Rhinolophus ferrumequinum: one gene and its partner. The protein of the gene in region 1 binds, or shares a complex with, the protein of each later gene. Links are inferred from orthologs where the notes say so. Each region holds a gene or a part of one and is shown in the gene's direction. Other genes may lie near its edges. The genes, in order: DYDC2 and NME5.

What was found.
Region 2: the proteins of DYDC2 (region 1) and NME5 are in contact, whole or in part, in a cryo-EM structure (PDB 8X2U), measured with the Mus musculus proteins. The link is inferred for Rhinolophus ferrumequinum from reciprocal best matches to the Homo sapiens genes DYDC2 and NME5. Residues at the interface, in NP_001347537.1 of Mus musculus: Asp2, Tyr5, Leu6, Cys9, Phe10, Gly13, Leu14, Leu18, Val21, Ala22, Arg23, Val24, Arg25, Pro26, Asp28, Pro29, Ile30, Glu31, Leu33, Ala34, His35, Leu37, Tyr38, Tyr40, Arg41; in NP_542368.2 of Mus musculus: Arg140, Ala145, Val146, Ile147, Ile151, Pro152, Ala156, Ala157, Tyr160, Ile161, Tyr164, Val165, Thr168, Leu169, Leu173, Leu176, Cys177, Lys180, Pro181, Asp183, Pro184, Tyr185, Leu186, Leu188, Ala189, Asp190, Leu192, Met193, Asn196, Pro197.

The regions. Positions count from the first base shown.
Region 1 is NC_046299.1:56,292,688-56,301,095, forward strand, and holds the start of DYDC2 (DPY30 domain-containing protein 2), read left to right. Parts: upstream 1-5,280; 5' UTR 5,281-5,287; coding exon 5,288-5,434; intron 5,435-5,778; coding exon 5,779-5,898; intron 5,899-8,408.
Region 2 is NC_046307.1:13,294,717-13,302,702, reverse strand, and holds the start of NME5 (nucleoside diphosphate kinase homolog 5), read left to right. Parts: upstream 1-4,354; 5' UTR 4,355-4,411; intron 4,412-4,418; exon of another isoform or gene 4,419-4,858; intron 4,859-4,999; 5' UTR 5,000-5,043; coding exon 5,044-5,172; intron 5,173-7,539; coding exon 7,540-7,548; intron 7,549-7,986. Other genes in the region: bromodomain-containing protein 8-like, read left to right, coding at 615-704, 803-871, 2,891-3,068, 3,613-3,663. UniProt on the Homo sapiens protein: Functions as part of axonemal radial spoke complexes that play an important part in the motility of sperm and cilia. Does not seem to have nucleoside diphosphate kinase (NDPK) activity.

The DNA.
Region 1 (8,408 bases):
GAGAGATAAGCGGGCGGCGGGGTCGCGGAGAGGAGACGCAAAGGGCTCTGTCTGTGAATGGGGGGAGACCCCTCCACAACCCCCCGGGGCCAGCGGAGACAATCACTGCAAGTTCTGTGGCCCGGTATTTTCACGACTTCACACCTTTGCACTTGCTGGTAACTTCTGCTTGGTGGCTTTTAGAACCAGCTCAGGTGCCCTCACCTCCGGGAAGCCATCCAACCTCTGCCAGGTCAGAGCCATTGCAGTTTTCCCTGGCCTGGTCTTGTGCCCAATACTCTGCTAGTATATCCCGGGAGTGTTCTGTTTTAATTCACGTGCCGGGCAGGCAGTACTGGACGGGAGATGCCTCACTGAACGCTGGAAGTGCCAGAGTGGGCACTGACTGAAGGGACCATGAGCTTGTGTGGGGACAGAGCCAGGAGTGCAGTTTCCAGGCTCTCCGCGTCACGTGGAAAGGTGCTGGCTCAGCTAGCAAATGGCCATCAACTGCGATTGGATGGCCATCAGCTGTGGCTAGTTGGCCGTCAGCTGTAACCAGTGAGCCATTGGCCACTAATATAACTGCTGTGGCTACGCTAGCAGCAAATGGAGGCTAGCAAGAGGATGGTGGCTGAGCTAGTCAGAGTGGATTGCAGTTAGCACGGTGGAGTGCAGCTAGCAAGTGGGGTTGGTTGGTTGACAGAGAAGCGGACAGCAGGTTGCAGGTCGTGTGGATCCTGTTTCCTGTGTCTCCAACCCAGCCACCAGCGAGAATATAATGGTATGACTCCCCTATCTATGGCTCTGTGGGTGTTCCTTTTTGGCCTCACCATTTCCTGTGTTCTTATGTGGGGAGCAGGACCAGAGACTCCGCCTGACACCCTGCATGACAGCTTGTCTGGGTGGGCTCACAAGCATCAGAGCCCTGGCAGATGAAGAAGTATTTACTGAGCACACACTGTGTGCCTAGCACTGGGAATAGAGTGTGAACAAAGATACTCTCCATGCTTATTGCTCTGCCTACTGTGTGCAAGGCCATGGGCAAGGGGACCCTTCAGACCCTCTGAAGAGCTCTGGGAGACTCCAAAATATAGCCCCCTCCCGCTTGGTGAGTGTGCCCGGAGTTGGTCGGGAGTGGGCTGTAAAAGTCCCCTTTGCCCCCTCCCTCTCCAGGCCTTACATTGTGGCACTGTTATTGTGGCTCTGCTGTCTTTGCATCAAGTCTTAGTAACTGTCAGATCAACATATTTCATTGAGACCATTGTTGAAAATGTGCAATTTGGAGCAGATGCTTCCTCCAGAAAGGGTGACAGCCACCCAAGGACTGGAAGTAGAGAGGCTTCCTGGGAATGCAAAATTGATAATTCGACTCTCTGGGAAGGGCAGTTCTACAATGATAAAGGCAAAGTAGACTTGTGACTTCGAATCACCTGGGGATTTTGTTAAACTGTAGACTGAATCATTAGGCCTGGTATGGACCTTGAAAATCTGCATTTCAGCAAGCCCCCAGGTGATGCAAGCCCCCAGGGGATGTAGAAGGTAGTTTATCCAAGTGCATTGGTTCAGGTGGACCACAGATTAGCAGAAAGAGACAACATATACCCCTGTCTCCAACTTCACCACTATCCCTGTGGGAGAGGAGGAAACTTTCCTCTACGCTCAGGGTTTTTTCAGCTGGTCTAATAATCAATTAGAGATGAGACAGATGAAGAGATTTTCAGTAATTAGAAGTTTTCCCTGCCCTACCGATTGGTCAAAAAATGTTATCTCTGATAATCTCTTATTATGGGCAAGGCCCCTAATTCAAGTTCTAGGTAGTTAAGTGGGAAGGGCAGAAGTTTCTCTTGAGCCCACAGGTTGCCTTCAGCTCAAAACAATCTGCGTGCCATAGAGGCACATCTTGGGGTGACTCATTCTGAATCCCTATACCCCAAACTTAGTGACTTCAAGTACACGTTTATTCTTTTAAAGTTTTTGAAGTCAGAAATCTAAAATGAGTCTTACAGCGCTAAAACCAAGTATTGGCAGGGCTCGTTCCTTCTAGAAGCTCTAGAGGAGAATCCATTTCCTCGCCTTTTCCAGCTTCTAGAGGCTACCTACATTCCTTGGCTCATGGCTCCGAATCACATCACCTTTTCTCCCTCTGTTCTGTCATCACATCTCCTTCTCTGTCTGATCTTACTGTGTCCCTCTTATAAAGACCCTTGTCATTACATTGGGCCTGCCTGGATAATTCAGATAATCTCCCTAAATCAAAATTCTTAATTGAATCACATCTGCGAAGTCCTTCCATATAGGGTAACATACATTACAAGTTCCAGGTATTAGGACTTAGACACTTTTGTGAGCCATTTTTCATCCCTGTTATACTGTGTATTTCCTTAAATGAAGGACATTTTCTTACTCATATTTCAATTACCAAAACCAGGAAATTTGACTTTGATTTAATTCTATTATGTGGTCTACAATTCATGTTCAGTTTATCCAATTTTCCTAACACTGTCCATTATGGAATTTTCTTTTTTTTTCCTGGTCCAGATCCAATCAAGGATCATGTATTGCATGCCTATTTAGGCTCCTTTAATCTGGAATGGCTCCTCCTCTTGTCTTTCATGACCTTGGCATTTTTAAGAGTACAGGTCAGTTGTATACTGTCTCTCAATTTGACTTTATTTGATGTTTCCTCAATCAGATTCAAGTTTTGCATTGGGGGCAGGAATCCACAGAAGTGTATTATGTCCCACTAAGAAGTGTATCACATCAGGAGACACACTATGTCACTTTGCCCCTTATTGGGGATGTTTACTTTGATCCTCTGGTTAAAGTTGTGGTGACCAGGTTCTATCACTGTAAAGTTTCTGTATTTCCCTTGGAAAGTAATACATAATTTGTAGGGGAGAAACTTCGAGATTATATAAATATCCTATCCCTTGTCAAATGTTGTCTGAGTTTTAGTCTTCACAGATAATTCTGGCTTGATTCAGTTATACTATGGTGGTTACAGTATGGTGATTTTTTAAAAAAAAACTCCATTATTCTTTCCACATTTATTAGTTGGCATTCTACTTTAAGAAAGAACTTACTGTATATCACATTACGAAATTATTTATTCTTATGTGGATTCATGAATTCTTATTTTACTCCAAGGAGTCCTGATTTCTCTTTTAAGTGGTGACAGCTATTTAAGGAGAAGTTCTGAATGCTTAGTGTGCTTGCTGCTTACTGAGGTGTTTTTGCTTCTAGGACTTTGCGATGGGAAGAGCTAGGAAATATATATATTTTTCTATACTCATATCTATCTATCAATCATCTATCTATCTAGCTTTCCTTCTTTAAACTGAAAAATGCCTCCGGAAAATGTTGATTGTGTCGTGGCGTGTAATTAACCCCTGGGCATTCACAAAACGTGAAAGCATTCACAGACTCTACTACAAAGGAAGTTTTTATTGAAGTTAGGGCACAGAGAGAATGCCCATGGCAGTGTCCAAAAATGATTGCTGCCACAGGTTGTCAGAAGAGAAACACCAGCGTGGTGGCGGTGGAGGTGGGGTGTGTGTCATGGGGCAGAGTCTAGAATCTGAGAGTGGGCAGCTGCTCCTAACTTCAGGTTAGCTTTTTCTTATATAGGAAAGGGGAAGTCGGTTAGGCAGGTTCGAGGGCTGACATCCTTCCTGGGGTCTGGTCTGTTTGAAGACAATGTTATCTCCGGACTGGGACGCGGCCATCGAGGCCTGGGACTTGAATGCGTCACCAGTAAAAACTGCGAGGGAGTTGTCAATTGGATTCCGGTGTCCGGGCACCTGAGGATTAAGAAATTGCCCTTTCCAGGTTGGGATTCTGTTGATTAAATGGATTAAGGAGGTATGGGTAGCCTTGAGAAAGGGAACAATCAGAGTTCTTCAGCTAATCAGTGAGGGGAGAAACAAGGAGAAAACAGCTGAATATCAGGATGGATCAAACTGCAAACAAAGTAAGTGTAATTACAGGTGGCTGGATAGTGAGCTATGCGGTAAGTTAAACTGCAAACTAGCTAAGTTTAACTACATTATTGATTCCCTAAATTTCACCCTTACAGATTGGATCTGAGACTTAATTAGTCACTTTATCATTAGCTCTTTTGGAGGTAAGATATGTAAACTTCAGGAACATGGGGTTGGTGAGGAATAGGCCAGATTTTAGGGCATTTCATATCACAATATTCCACTGTAATAGCTAATATTTATTAAGCACTTACTATATGCCAGGCTAAGTGCTTTAGATGCATTTATTATTTCCTTTAATCCTCATAATTACGAGGCACATACTTTCGTTCTTCTGTTCTCCAGATGAGAAAACCAAGGCTCACAGGAGCTGGTGACTTGCTGAAGATCACACAGCTAATTAAATGGCAGAAGCAGGAACTTGGTCTGTCTGATCCCAGAGTCTGTATTCATACTGCTGCACTACACTGCCTCTCCTCACTGTGGTCTAACGCAGGCTACACTGCCTCCAGCTCTTGAAATCTGAATAATAGTGAATCAGCTCAACCTAAAGTAGTTCCTTGCTTAAGCAGTAGAGTAGAATATGGTGTTTAGTGCTGGCAGAGCCCCGGACCAGCAGCAGCTACAATGCCCAGCATTTGCCATCCCTCTCCTCCCCAGGGCTTCTCAGTGGTCCCTTGTGAAATAAATAAGCCCATCTTATCTAGGTCACAGATGACTATAGCTCCTGACCTCACAAGAGCACAGCTTGCTGGGTGCTCAGCCCCTTCAGGACTCATGCCTTCTCAGTTATTTCCTCTCCACTCAAGGGTAGAAATGTGTGGGTAAGTGGAGGCCTTAGCCACCGTGAACCACCAATCTGTGAAGCTCCTGTCAGGCCTGATGACCCCTAGGACCTATTACTATCTGACCTAGGATAATTTCTCCCCTTGAGTGGAGAGGAAATAGCTGAGAAGGCACAGGTCCCAGAGGGGCTCTGAGCACCCAGCAAGCTGTGCTCTTGTGAGGTCGGGAGCTGCAGTCTCTATGACATAGGTGAGCTAGGCTTACTTATTTCACAAGGGACCACTGAGAAGCCCTGGGGAGGAGAGGGATGGCAAATGCTGGGCATTGTAGCTGCTGCTGGTCACGGGCTCTGCTAGGACAGCTGCACAGCTTTAGAAGAAAGTCCACTTGAGTGTAAGAGCTAGTGGTGTGTTTGTATTTATTTACTCTTTGGGGAAGGGTGGGATCCAGAAACGTCTCATGGAATGTGTTTATTTTTAAAATCAAATTAGATTTGTAAAATAGTGTGACTCTGTTTGGATATGTCCCAAGCCCACAGGATGGAAACTGACTACCTGAAGAGGTGCTTTGGAAATTGCCTGGCCCAGGGACTAGCAGAGGTGGCGAAGGTTCGGCCCAGTGACCCCATAGAGTACCTGGCTCACTGGCTTTATCATTACAGGGAAATCACTAAAGCGAAAGAAAAGGTAGGTGTGTATGCGCACTGGGTGGGTTAGGGGAGGGCTTTCCAGCTTTGCCAGAGTAATTTGAAATCCAAGGCAGGATTCTGGAGCTGTCCTGGGGAGTTTCTTGATTTATTCAGCTTGTGAGGGTAACTTAGGCCCTGATATGCTAGAAGGGCAGGAAGCCTGGGAGAGGCTAAAGAAGGAATCCAGCTCACAGGAGTGACAGAATTTGTGGGTTTGGAGCTACTAGCAGGCTAAAGCTAGTTACAAAAGCAGACTCAGGAAGCCTGATGGGCCTGAGGCCAGTCCCAGTGAGAGGGCCCCTTTGTACATGCTTCTGATTCAGCTTTGTCACATCTCCCCAGGATAGACAAGAGAAGATCCAGCTGAAGGAAGAGGATGACAGTAGACTCAAGGAAACCCAAATGGCAGAAATGCTGAAGCAAGAAGAGTGCCAGATTCAACAGAAGTGTGAAGTGTCACAGGTAGGAGAAGAAACCTAGCACACACATCCCAGTGATGGATTCTAGGTAGTCCACCGTCACCCTGATCACCATGCGAAACACACTGAGGCCCCCATTAGCCTACTTTTTCCTCCATGTTCATATGTTTCTATATAAGCCAATCTTATTGACACGACATGACAATCTTTGCCAATAAGATCATTGTCAATGAAAAAGAAAATGTTTAAAGGCAATTCCATTTTAGAGTTTAGGAAATACCTGTGATGTTACTGGTTTAAAGCAAATCAGATTTACAAATAATCTAATCTGTCACTTGGAACAAATATATTTTTATACAAGATCCTTTGAGCCCTTTACAAAAATTATTCAATATTTTTCAGAAACCAAATATGGTTATAAGTATATACTTCAGGTATATTATTTTATTTATTATATACTACTTACTTATTTATTATATGCTGTTTATTTATGCATCAAGCCATAGATGCCACCTCAGTGATGCTGTAATAGTGGTCATAAATTATTAACTTGGAATAGTTGGAGACAACTGAGCATTCATTGGTCTGACAGGCATACGTTTCCTATCCCGTAATTTTTGCCACAATCTTCTGATAAAGGAATCGTTTTGCGTTTCCTACAAAGGACGTGCTATCTGGATAGGGAATTGACTTACTGGGCTTGATATCTGACATCTTTATAACTATCACTATATCCCATGCATTAAAATCTTTAATGCAGTTTTATACAATTAACTAGCTTTTGCTAGTTTCCAAAGCCCACTTTGATGAGACATGAAAATATTAAGCTTATTTACATGTATACAAATATGCTCAGCTTTCCTCATAAACAAGTAATAGATTTTTTTAAGTCTGGATGTTTTATAAATAAATCAAAACAAAGATTGTTTCATACTATTGTTAGACAGTAGTCTAAGTGAGCCCTCCCTTCGGAATGTTCTTAGAATAGTTGTTGGGAGAGGGTAGAGGTGAGATCATTAGGCAAAACTTGGCATCACGTTGCTGCCCACTCAAATCCTTTTCTGACAACATACTGTACTGTTAATAGAAATAGAAATATATAAGGCAGGGAAAGACTCCCAAAACCCCACCCTGGTTTTCTGGTGCCCTTATTAAAGAAAGCTTTGTTCACATCAATATTTTTGAATTGTCCCTTTGTGTTGCACACTCAAGAGGTTTTATGTCCTCTGGCAATGTTCCTTAGCAAGAATCACACGAGTAAAATGTATGCTGTTCTTTGTCCAAGTGTGAGACAACGTCAGTTGTAAGGGAAGATGGAAAATGAGAGTCAGCGTGATGCCTGCACCGTGTGCAAGTGCTCAATTTTAAGAAAGAGTTCATGTCCGAGTTGTGGTTATGATTCCCTTTGTTAGAGGGAACTAGAACCCAACAGTGATCTAAAACAAAGCTGAATTTATTGCTTACTTGGCCAGGGAGAGCCGTGTCACTTAAGTGCAAGTTACTGTGCTAGTATAAACGGAAAGCTGGATAAAGGGCCAAGAGGTGGAGGTACATCCAGTTAGACAAGATTCTAAGTTCTGGTTTCTTGGTGGCTAAAAGTGAATTGCAAACTATTCCTTGCTATTGATCACCTTCAGATTCTGTGTCACTAGTGCTATAAAACCTGGTCTTAAACAGGCCCAGGATGGGTTGCAGAAGATTTCAGCAGACTTGATTTCGCTGACGGGCCTATATGCACATAGTCAAAGCTTTACAAGATTTTAAAAAATATCTTCGAACCACCATTGCTTGCATATACCTTACAAAGTCTTCGAGTCGCCCAGATTGAATACTACTGGTCCAGTGGATATGTCGAAAGAGGAGTAGAAATGAGCACTATGTTTGGTAGAGGTCATATCCAATTATAGCAATCAAAAAGGGATTCACAGAGGAGGTGACCTGTGAGTCAGACCTCGAAGAAAGCTGGCGTAAGTGGCCCTTGTCTTGGTTTCTCTACATTAAGCAGAGGCAGATTTGAGCAAGTAAACCATAATTCTGTTTCTAAATCTGAAAGCAATCCCTTTGTTTATAAAGATCTGAGCCATATAAATGTTTTAGAAATACATTTTTATAGAATTAGCACACATATATGCTGCATAGACTCACAGCACTTGAAGTTAGAGGGGTCTTAGAGGTTATGTGGGTAATCTTCACAGACCTCTCGGCAGTGCCCCACGGGGTCCACTGCAGAATGCTCTCCTGGGGCTTCTGGGCAAAGAGGGAGGTAGAGGTAGGTGTCCAGTAGAGTTTAAGCTCAAAGGATTCCAACCTCAACCGGGGACTGAAATTGCATGGACATTAGACTGCTTGTTATTGCTTCATAGGTCACTGAGACGATGTTTATTTTTCAATCTTTTTCCCTCTGTACCTCAGTTTGGATGATTTCTATTGATCTGTCTTCAAGTTTACTGACCCTTTCTTCTGCAATGTCTGATGCCCTATTTAGAGATTTGGTGAATTTTTTTTCATTTTGGATACTGTACTTTTCAATTCTAAAATTTCTATTTCCAATTT
Region 2 (7,986 bases), on another chromosome or scaffold:
TTTAGCCCAGAGAAGGAAGTGCCATGAAGATAAATGACTTAGGTGTTTTAAAGATTACTATACAGAGGAGAACGAAAAGGAAAAATATTTAATTGTGTGGCATTCAGATGAAACGTAAGAGAATTCCTTGGAATCTGTAATCAAATATTTCCTTCTCTGGAAATATGGGTGAGAGAGATACTTATTAATGTGGCATATTTCTGCATAAAACAGGACCAGATTCATTTATCAAAAACTTAATTGAGCTTCTACTATGTGCCAGGCAGTTGGGAAACATCAGTGAACAAAGACTACTTTCATAGACCAGTTCTTTAGAGTCACAGGTGCTGAAGAGCAAAATCAGCAAGAGATCAAAAGGCCCAGGCAATTGTAGATTTGTAATACATTTTATAAAAGGTAACCACTTCATTGGGTTATAGTGATCAGTAAGAGAACACTTATAGAGTTTGGGGTCCCTTATGGAAGCATTAAATATCTTCATATTCTTACGGTATTACATTTCCTTCAGATGTTAATTAGGAGCAGTGTGTCTTGAGAAAGCCTCATGTCCACCTGGGGGAGGCAGAATGCCCTTTGCGAAGTTACTGTTTCTTTTCTGTCGTGTTATCCCATAGGTCTGATTTAAGCCAGAGCGATCCTGTTCAGGATCACTTGCTATTTAAGAAGACTGTCCTGTCAGTCTGGAAGATGATTGCCAGTCACAGGTAGGTCTCCAAGCCATTCTTCGTGTTCACAGCCACTCTTCTTATTCAGAGTGACTTTCCAGGGTTTCTTCTTACATTCTGGGTTTGTCCCCTAACAGGTTCAGTGGTCCATTTCTGAAGCCTGTGTCAGAAAGGCAGGCCCCAGGATACAAGGATGTGGTGAAAAGGTCAGTGGAAAAGGGGTCAAGAAAGGCTTCTTGCTTTTATATCTGTCTTTTTGTACTTTATTTCCCATATATTAGATTATTTCTTATTTCATTTACATTACTTACAAACTCAAGATGTATTTTACAGCTGAACAAGTTTGCAAAGTTATGGTGTGTTCAGTCTGCTTTTGAGAAGGAATGCAGGGAACACAAGGATAATGCAGGCTCTTTTTTTCCCAGTGTTGATTTTTAAGTAATGTGATCCATTATAATCTTAGCCTTTGGTAGTTTTTGACACTGTTTTTTGGAGCAAAACTTTAAAAGGAACGCTGTATTCATTCTGGTCGTTATAGGTACTCATATGCTAAGGCAAAGATGATAATCCAAATGATGTGACCAACATTGGTTGATTGCAGTATTTTTTATTTTTATAGCATATTTCATCTAAAATACTGTCACAAACCAGTGTGTTACTGTATAAAAGGTCAGGAAAAGACGTTTGGAGACAGACTTGTTCTATAGACGAGGAAACTAAAGCTCAGAGGTGATGATGACTTGTCTGTGATAACAGTGCCTAGCAGAGCTGGAACTGACCCCCAGATTCTTACCTCCCCATTCAGTTCTCTTTCTACACTGCTGTGCCTTCCCTTATATACCCACTGTCTGGGTCTCATTAATAATTTGTCTTGGAGTGGCTAGGTAGCTCAGTTAGTTAGAGCGTGGTGCTGGTTGCACCGAGGTTGCTGGTTCGATCCCTGCATGGGTCACTGTGAGTTGTGCCCTCCTTGAAAAAAAATAAAAGAAATTGCCTGCTACTTAGGAAAAAACTAAGGGCTGGCCCGGTGGCTCAGGCGGTTAGAGCTCCATGCTCCTAACGCCGAAGGCTGCCGGTTCGATTCCCACATGGGCCAGTGGGCTCTCAACCACAAGGTTGCCAGTTCAATTCCTCGATTCCCGCAAGGGATGGTGGGCAGCGCCCCCTGCAACTAAGATTGAACATGGCACCTTGAGCTGAGCTGCCTCCCGGATGGCTCAGTTGGAGCGCATCCTCTCAACCACAAGGTTGGCAGTTTGATTCCTCAACTTCCGCAAGGAATGGTGGTCAGCGCCCCCTGCAACTAAAATTGAACACAGCACCTTGAGCTGTGAGCTGCTGCTGAGCTCCCAGATGGCTCAGTTGGTTGGAGCTCTTCCTCTCAACCACAAAGTTGCCGGTTCGACTCCCCCAAGGGATGGTGGGCTGTGCCCCCTGCAACTAGAAACGGCAACTGGACCTGGGGCTGAGCTGCGCCCTCCACAACTAAGTCTGAAAGGACAACAACTTGAAGCTGAACGGCACCCTCCACAACTAAGATTGAAAGGACAACAACTGGATTTGGAAAAAAGTCCTGGAAGTACACACTGTTCCCCAATAAAGTCCTGTTCCCCTTCCCCAATAAAATCTTAAAAAAAAAAATTGTCTTAATATTTGCTTGATTCTCACTCTTCATCTCCATGAAAGGAGAAAAAACTTATTAGCTTTTGATTATGCAATAAGAGAAGTATGTTAATGCCTAGTATATGGCTATACATTGTAAACAGTTGTTAACTACCATATGACAAACTGATCGTTGGAGTTCTTTACAAATTTAGTACCTGGGGTCACCACTACTCCTGCAGTAGTAGAATGCAATGGCTGGGCCTGTGGATTTTGGAGTCAGGCTGCCTTTGAATTGGAATCCAAGCTGTGTGACCTTGAGCAAGTACTTACCCTCTTTAGATCTCGGTTCCCTCACTGCCAATTGGTGATAATAATGGTACCTGTTTTATGGGTTAATTGGGAGGTTTATGGGAGTTAATATAGAAAGTTACCTAACATAGTGCTTGGCCTATTGTAAGTAGTAGCAGTCCAATGATATTTTTTTAAAAAAGCTGTTGCTTTTTATATTAACTGTTGGGGATTGTTTTCATTAAGAGCTAGTTCTCCAAGACAGCATATTAGGTTACCACATGTTCTACATGAAGGTTTGATTTCCTCTGGTTTCTCTTGGCCACCTGTAGACCCATGGACTTAACGACCCTGAAAAGGAATCTGTCTAAGGGACGGATTCGCACCATGGCACAGTTCCAGCGGGACCTGATGCTGATGTTCCAAAATGCTGTGATGTACAATGACTCTGATCATCATGTGTACCATATGGCTGTGGAGATGCAGCGAGAAGTCTTGGAGCAGATTCAGGTACTGTATGTAGAGAGTTGCCTGAAAAAGGAGTGTAATCTCTGGAACCTGATTTAGAAAGTGAGAATAAGGGTGATGTTGAAGTGTTTCCAGATTTTATATTTAGAGGTGATTCAAGGCCCTGAAGGACTGACCTTGTACGTACTGGTTTGGAAAACCTGGAGCCTCAGTAGGACCAGCCTTAATAGTGAAGCAAAGTAGTCTAGGAAGGCAGGCAGCTGAAGAGCTCTGAAGAGGGCTGTAATGGTAATGGGAGCTCCTGCTTCCAGAGCCTCAAGCCAGAGTGCTAAACATGCAAACCAGAGGCTGGAGTCACTGTCCATTTTTTGGTTGCTACACCTGTTGATATTAATGTATGTTCACACTGTCCCATCGATACGGGGATAAGACACAGTAATCAGAAAACATCTGAAGGTTTCTTTTCTGGGTAGCATCATATTTTTAAGGAAAAAACGTAGTCAGATCTCATTGCAGAAAAATAAAATTGCATTCAAACCTCTGTAGCTTTTAAGCCTCATAGTTTGCTTCTGCCTTGACCCTATAGGTGCTGAGTACTTGGTTAGTCAAAAGAAGAGACTTAAATAGTCCAGAATGAGAATCAGCCAACCCAGTGCGTGATGGAAAACCTGTTTGGTTAACCTGGAGCTGCTACCCTGACCCTTTCTGAAATTTGGACCTCTCATTGAGACTCTGACCCAGAGAAGGTCCCAGCACTTGTCTATCATTTCCCTGTTGTCTTTTCTAATAATAAGGCCTTAACTCACAACCAAAGGTACCTGTGGACAAAATATAAGGGAAAAGGGGCAAGCTGTGATTTGGGGTTATACCATAAATGTTGCCCGTATCTTGTTCCATAGGCTTAATTTAGAGGTAACTAGTTTAAACCGCTTATTACTGCTCTATAAATAAATGTTATACCACAAGTTGAAGACTGCTTTTTAATGATTACAGAAGCTGGGAATAGAGGGGATAGCATCATCTGGTGAAATGAAGCTATTTGACGTGGGTTTTCTTACATTGTCTGGAAAGTGATGGGGTGGGGTGAGGAGGGGGTGATTATGATTTGTCTCATCGTTTATAAAATGGAGATAATTGAAGCAGCCTTAAAATGAGTAGGAGGGTGAAATAGGATGAATTATGAGGAAAATGTAAGAAAACGCCTAGTGCTCTAAGATTCTTAAGGGGGATAAAACTACCTGTGGCTGGCTCCCTTTCATGATTGAACCGGTAAGAGGCTGTGAAGTGACGCTGCTCGGATTGGCCCTCTGCAGCCACCGTCCCTCAGCTGGGCTTCGGGTCTCCTAGCAATAAGTTGTGGTCGCACCTGAGGAGTGAGTGCTGAGGTGAGTACACGACGGAAGGTCGGACTCGGAATCTGCGGGTGCAGCCGGGAGAAGTCCGGGGACTTAGGGATGCTACTTTCCAACCAGACCTGACCCTATGCATAGCCGTCCCGGCGAGGCGGGGCGGGGTGGGGCGAGGCTGCTCAACCTGCAGCTGGAGAATCGCGGAGAGTTGCCAACCGGTCTCCAGCTGCTGCCTTAGTCTGCGCGAGTCCCAGGCCTTTGGATTGCCCTGTGGCCTCTCCACCTTGATGAAAATGTTTAGGAAAGCCTAAGGCACGGCTTAACTGCAGAGTAGAAATCGTATTACAGTCATACCTCATTTTATTGCGCTTTAGGCGATTCACAGGTATTGGGTGTTTTACAAACTGAAGGCAAGACTCTCCACCATCAAATAGAGAACGACTCGCTTTACTGCGATCGAAGACAACCTGCAATGTCTTCGAGGTATGCCTGTGTTCAGACACTGCTTATAGAAAAAGATTGCAGTTTCTAAGTTTATATAAATTAATAAAATCAGGCGCCTAACAATGCTGTTCTTAATCATAATTACATTAAATTTGAGGTTGGGATTGCATATCATTGCAGTTGATACCTGTCAAGACTCTTAAATTATATCCTGAAAACCCACAATGGAGCTGTCGATGCCCCCACCTCAGATATACGTAGAAAAATCTCTGGCCATTATCAAACCAGATATTGTTGACAAAGAGGAGGAGATACAAGATATTATTCTCAGATCTGGATTCACCATTGTTCAGGTAACTTCTGGGCATGATCATTGTGTTCTTTTCTCTCATTGATCCTTTTTTTTAATGTTTATGTATTAGCATTAATTTAGCATTAAATTTAGGTTTATTCTAACTATAAAAGTTACATGTGATAGTATTTAAGTTTTGTCACACTTCAAAAGTATATAAAATGCAAAGTAAAATTCCTTTTCCCTCCACCTGTCCTCACCCACGCCACATCCCAGTCTCCAGAGAGAGGCAACGACTTAATACTTTCTGTTCTTCCAGGATTTTTCTATGTATTCCCAGACATTTTCCCCCATAAAATAGGACAGTGCCCCACCTTTGATCCTGTTTACAAAGTCCCTCAGATAGCAATTTCAGATTATTACATCTGAATGTAACTCATTCTTCCTAAGTTTTGTTTCATATACCCCTGTGTGGATGAATCACAATTTGTTTATTTGGTCCTCTATGGATGGACTTTAAGACTTTTGGATTTTTTTCCTTTATTACAAACATTTAATGTTTTAAGCCTTACACTTGCTCTGCAGTTGTTAGAGGTTTGAAAATGAATGTAAAAAGAATAAAGATTATCAAATAGAATTGAGTATATTTAATCTTCCTTTTTTGTACCATCCTTATTTGAAATTTCAGTTTTTAGTCTCTTATGTAATATTACTTATTTAATCAGTGTTTTAAAAAATAAAAAAGAGAAAACTTCAATCTTTAGGAAAGATGGGATTTTAGTTGAATTTAGGATAGGTGGAGGCTGAGGGTAAGGATGGTACAAGAAAATGTAAGGAAAGATGTACAGGAAATTATAAGAAAATATTTAATATAGTAATTAAAAGACCCAGGTAAAAATGAACTTTTTAATGAATGTTGTTAGGAAAACTAGGTAGCCATTAAAAAAAAAGTTGTATTCAAGTATGATACTGTATACACCGGGATAAACTTCAAATGGATTGGAATTTTAAATATTAAAAAATTAAACCATACAAATTCTAGAAGAAAAGATGGATGAGTTTCTTTACTCTTGGAATGGACAGCCATTTTTTATTATGACTTAGTCTAGGAAATATGAAAGAAAAGATTAATAAGATTATAAATTTAAAAAAGTTCTGCATGGCCAAATAAAAACTATAAGCAAAGTCAAAATACAAATGACAAACTTAGAAAAAAGATTTGCAATTCATATTGCAGACAGAGGGCTAATCTCCCTAATATATAAAGAACTCGAAAAAGATAAAAATTCAGTTGAAAATGGGCAGAACATACGGAGGATCAGAGAAAAAGAAAACAGATGCTTCTTGAAAATATGAAAAGATTCTCAATAAGTGGGGGAAAAAACAAATTAAAGTGACACTGAGCTACTACAGTATATGGCAAAAATGTAAAAGTGAATGGCACAACCCCCATAGAAGGGAACCTGACAATTATTTATCAATATTACAGATGTATTTATTTACCCTTAGACCCAGCAGTCCTACTTCTGGGAATTCCACCCATAATCTGTGTATTAATATCAAGTGACATATATACAGGTTACTTTTTGCAGCATTGTTTATTTACCAGCAAAAGATTGAAAACAGTCCAGTATTAGCAGAATGGTTAAATCAACTCTGGCAAAGACACCAAGTTGAATACTATGCAACTAACTGTAAAAAGAATAAGGAACCTTTTGGTGCCCTGTTATGGAAAAACAAATGTAATGTGTAGCAATCTTTTGTGATAGAAAGAAAAAAAGTAATATATATTCATGTTTGCTAATATTTGCAAAATGAAACACTAGGATAAATAAGCATTAAAAAATGGTTGCCTATTGAGAGCAAGAACAGTACATTAGGACAGGGAGGGGAATGAGATTTTTCAGCACATATCTTTTTATATTGCTTTGAACTTTTTAACCCTATAAGTGTATTATTCCTTAATTTTAGAAAAAAATTAAATGAAGTATATGAATAAGATAAAGATATACTATTTATGTTTTTTAAAAGTCCATATTTTAAAAAGAATTAGTGACAAACAAACTTAATTAAGTGGTAGTGTTAATCATAAATGAAAAATTAATATAAATGCTAATATTTTGCATTTTACCTAGTGAGCAATGAATTTCAGACCAAGAAGCCCTTGCTGTATTGTGTGCTTTTTTTTGGTTTTAATTGTGGCAAAATACATGCAGCTTAACCATTTGAACCATTTTTAGTTGTAGAGTTCAGTGGAACTAAGTACATTCCCATAGTTGTGAAACCATCACCACCATCCATTTCTAGAACTTTTACATCATCTCAGATTGAAACTCTGTACCCATTAAACACTATCTCTCTGTTTATCCCTCTTCCCAGCCCCTGGTAACCAGTATTCTTTCTATCACTATGATTTTGAGTATTCCAGATATCTCATGTAAGTGGAAACATATAATATTTGTCCTTTGTATAGTATGCTTTTAAAGTAGACTTTATTTTAGTTGGGAGTCCATTGAACTTGAGGCTTTCTTGTCCCATCTAGGGAAAACCTTCTGAAAAATGATATATCCTTTCAGTAGGTGGCAGTCTTTACTTTGTTACAAGCTAATTGTTCCTTTCTGTTATTGCTTCTCTTTGTGAAACTCTTCATCCAAATTCCAAGAAATTTTACCTGATCTAATTTTAAAGTAACCAAGGAAATCCTTGATTCAGTATTAACTTTAGTTTAATATGAGCCCTTAATTTTTATAATTGTGCTGCATTAGCTAGCATACCTGAGAAGGAAGCTTCCCGTTTGTGGAGAGGCATGTGTCAGATAAGGGTTTATATTGCAACAGAAGAGATTTTTAGTTTTTAACCCAGCAACAACAACAAC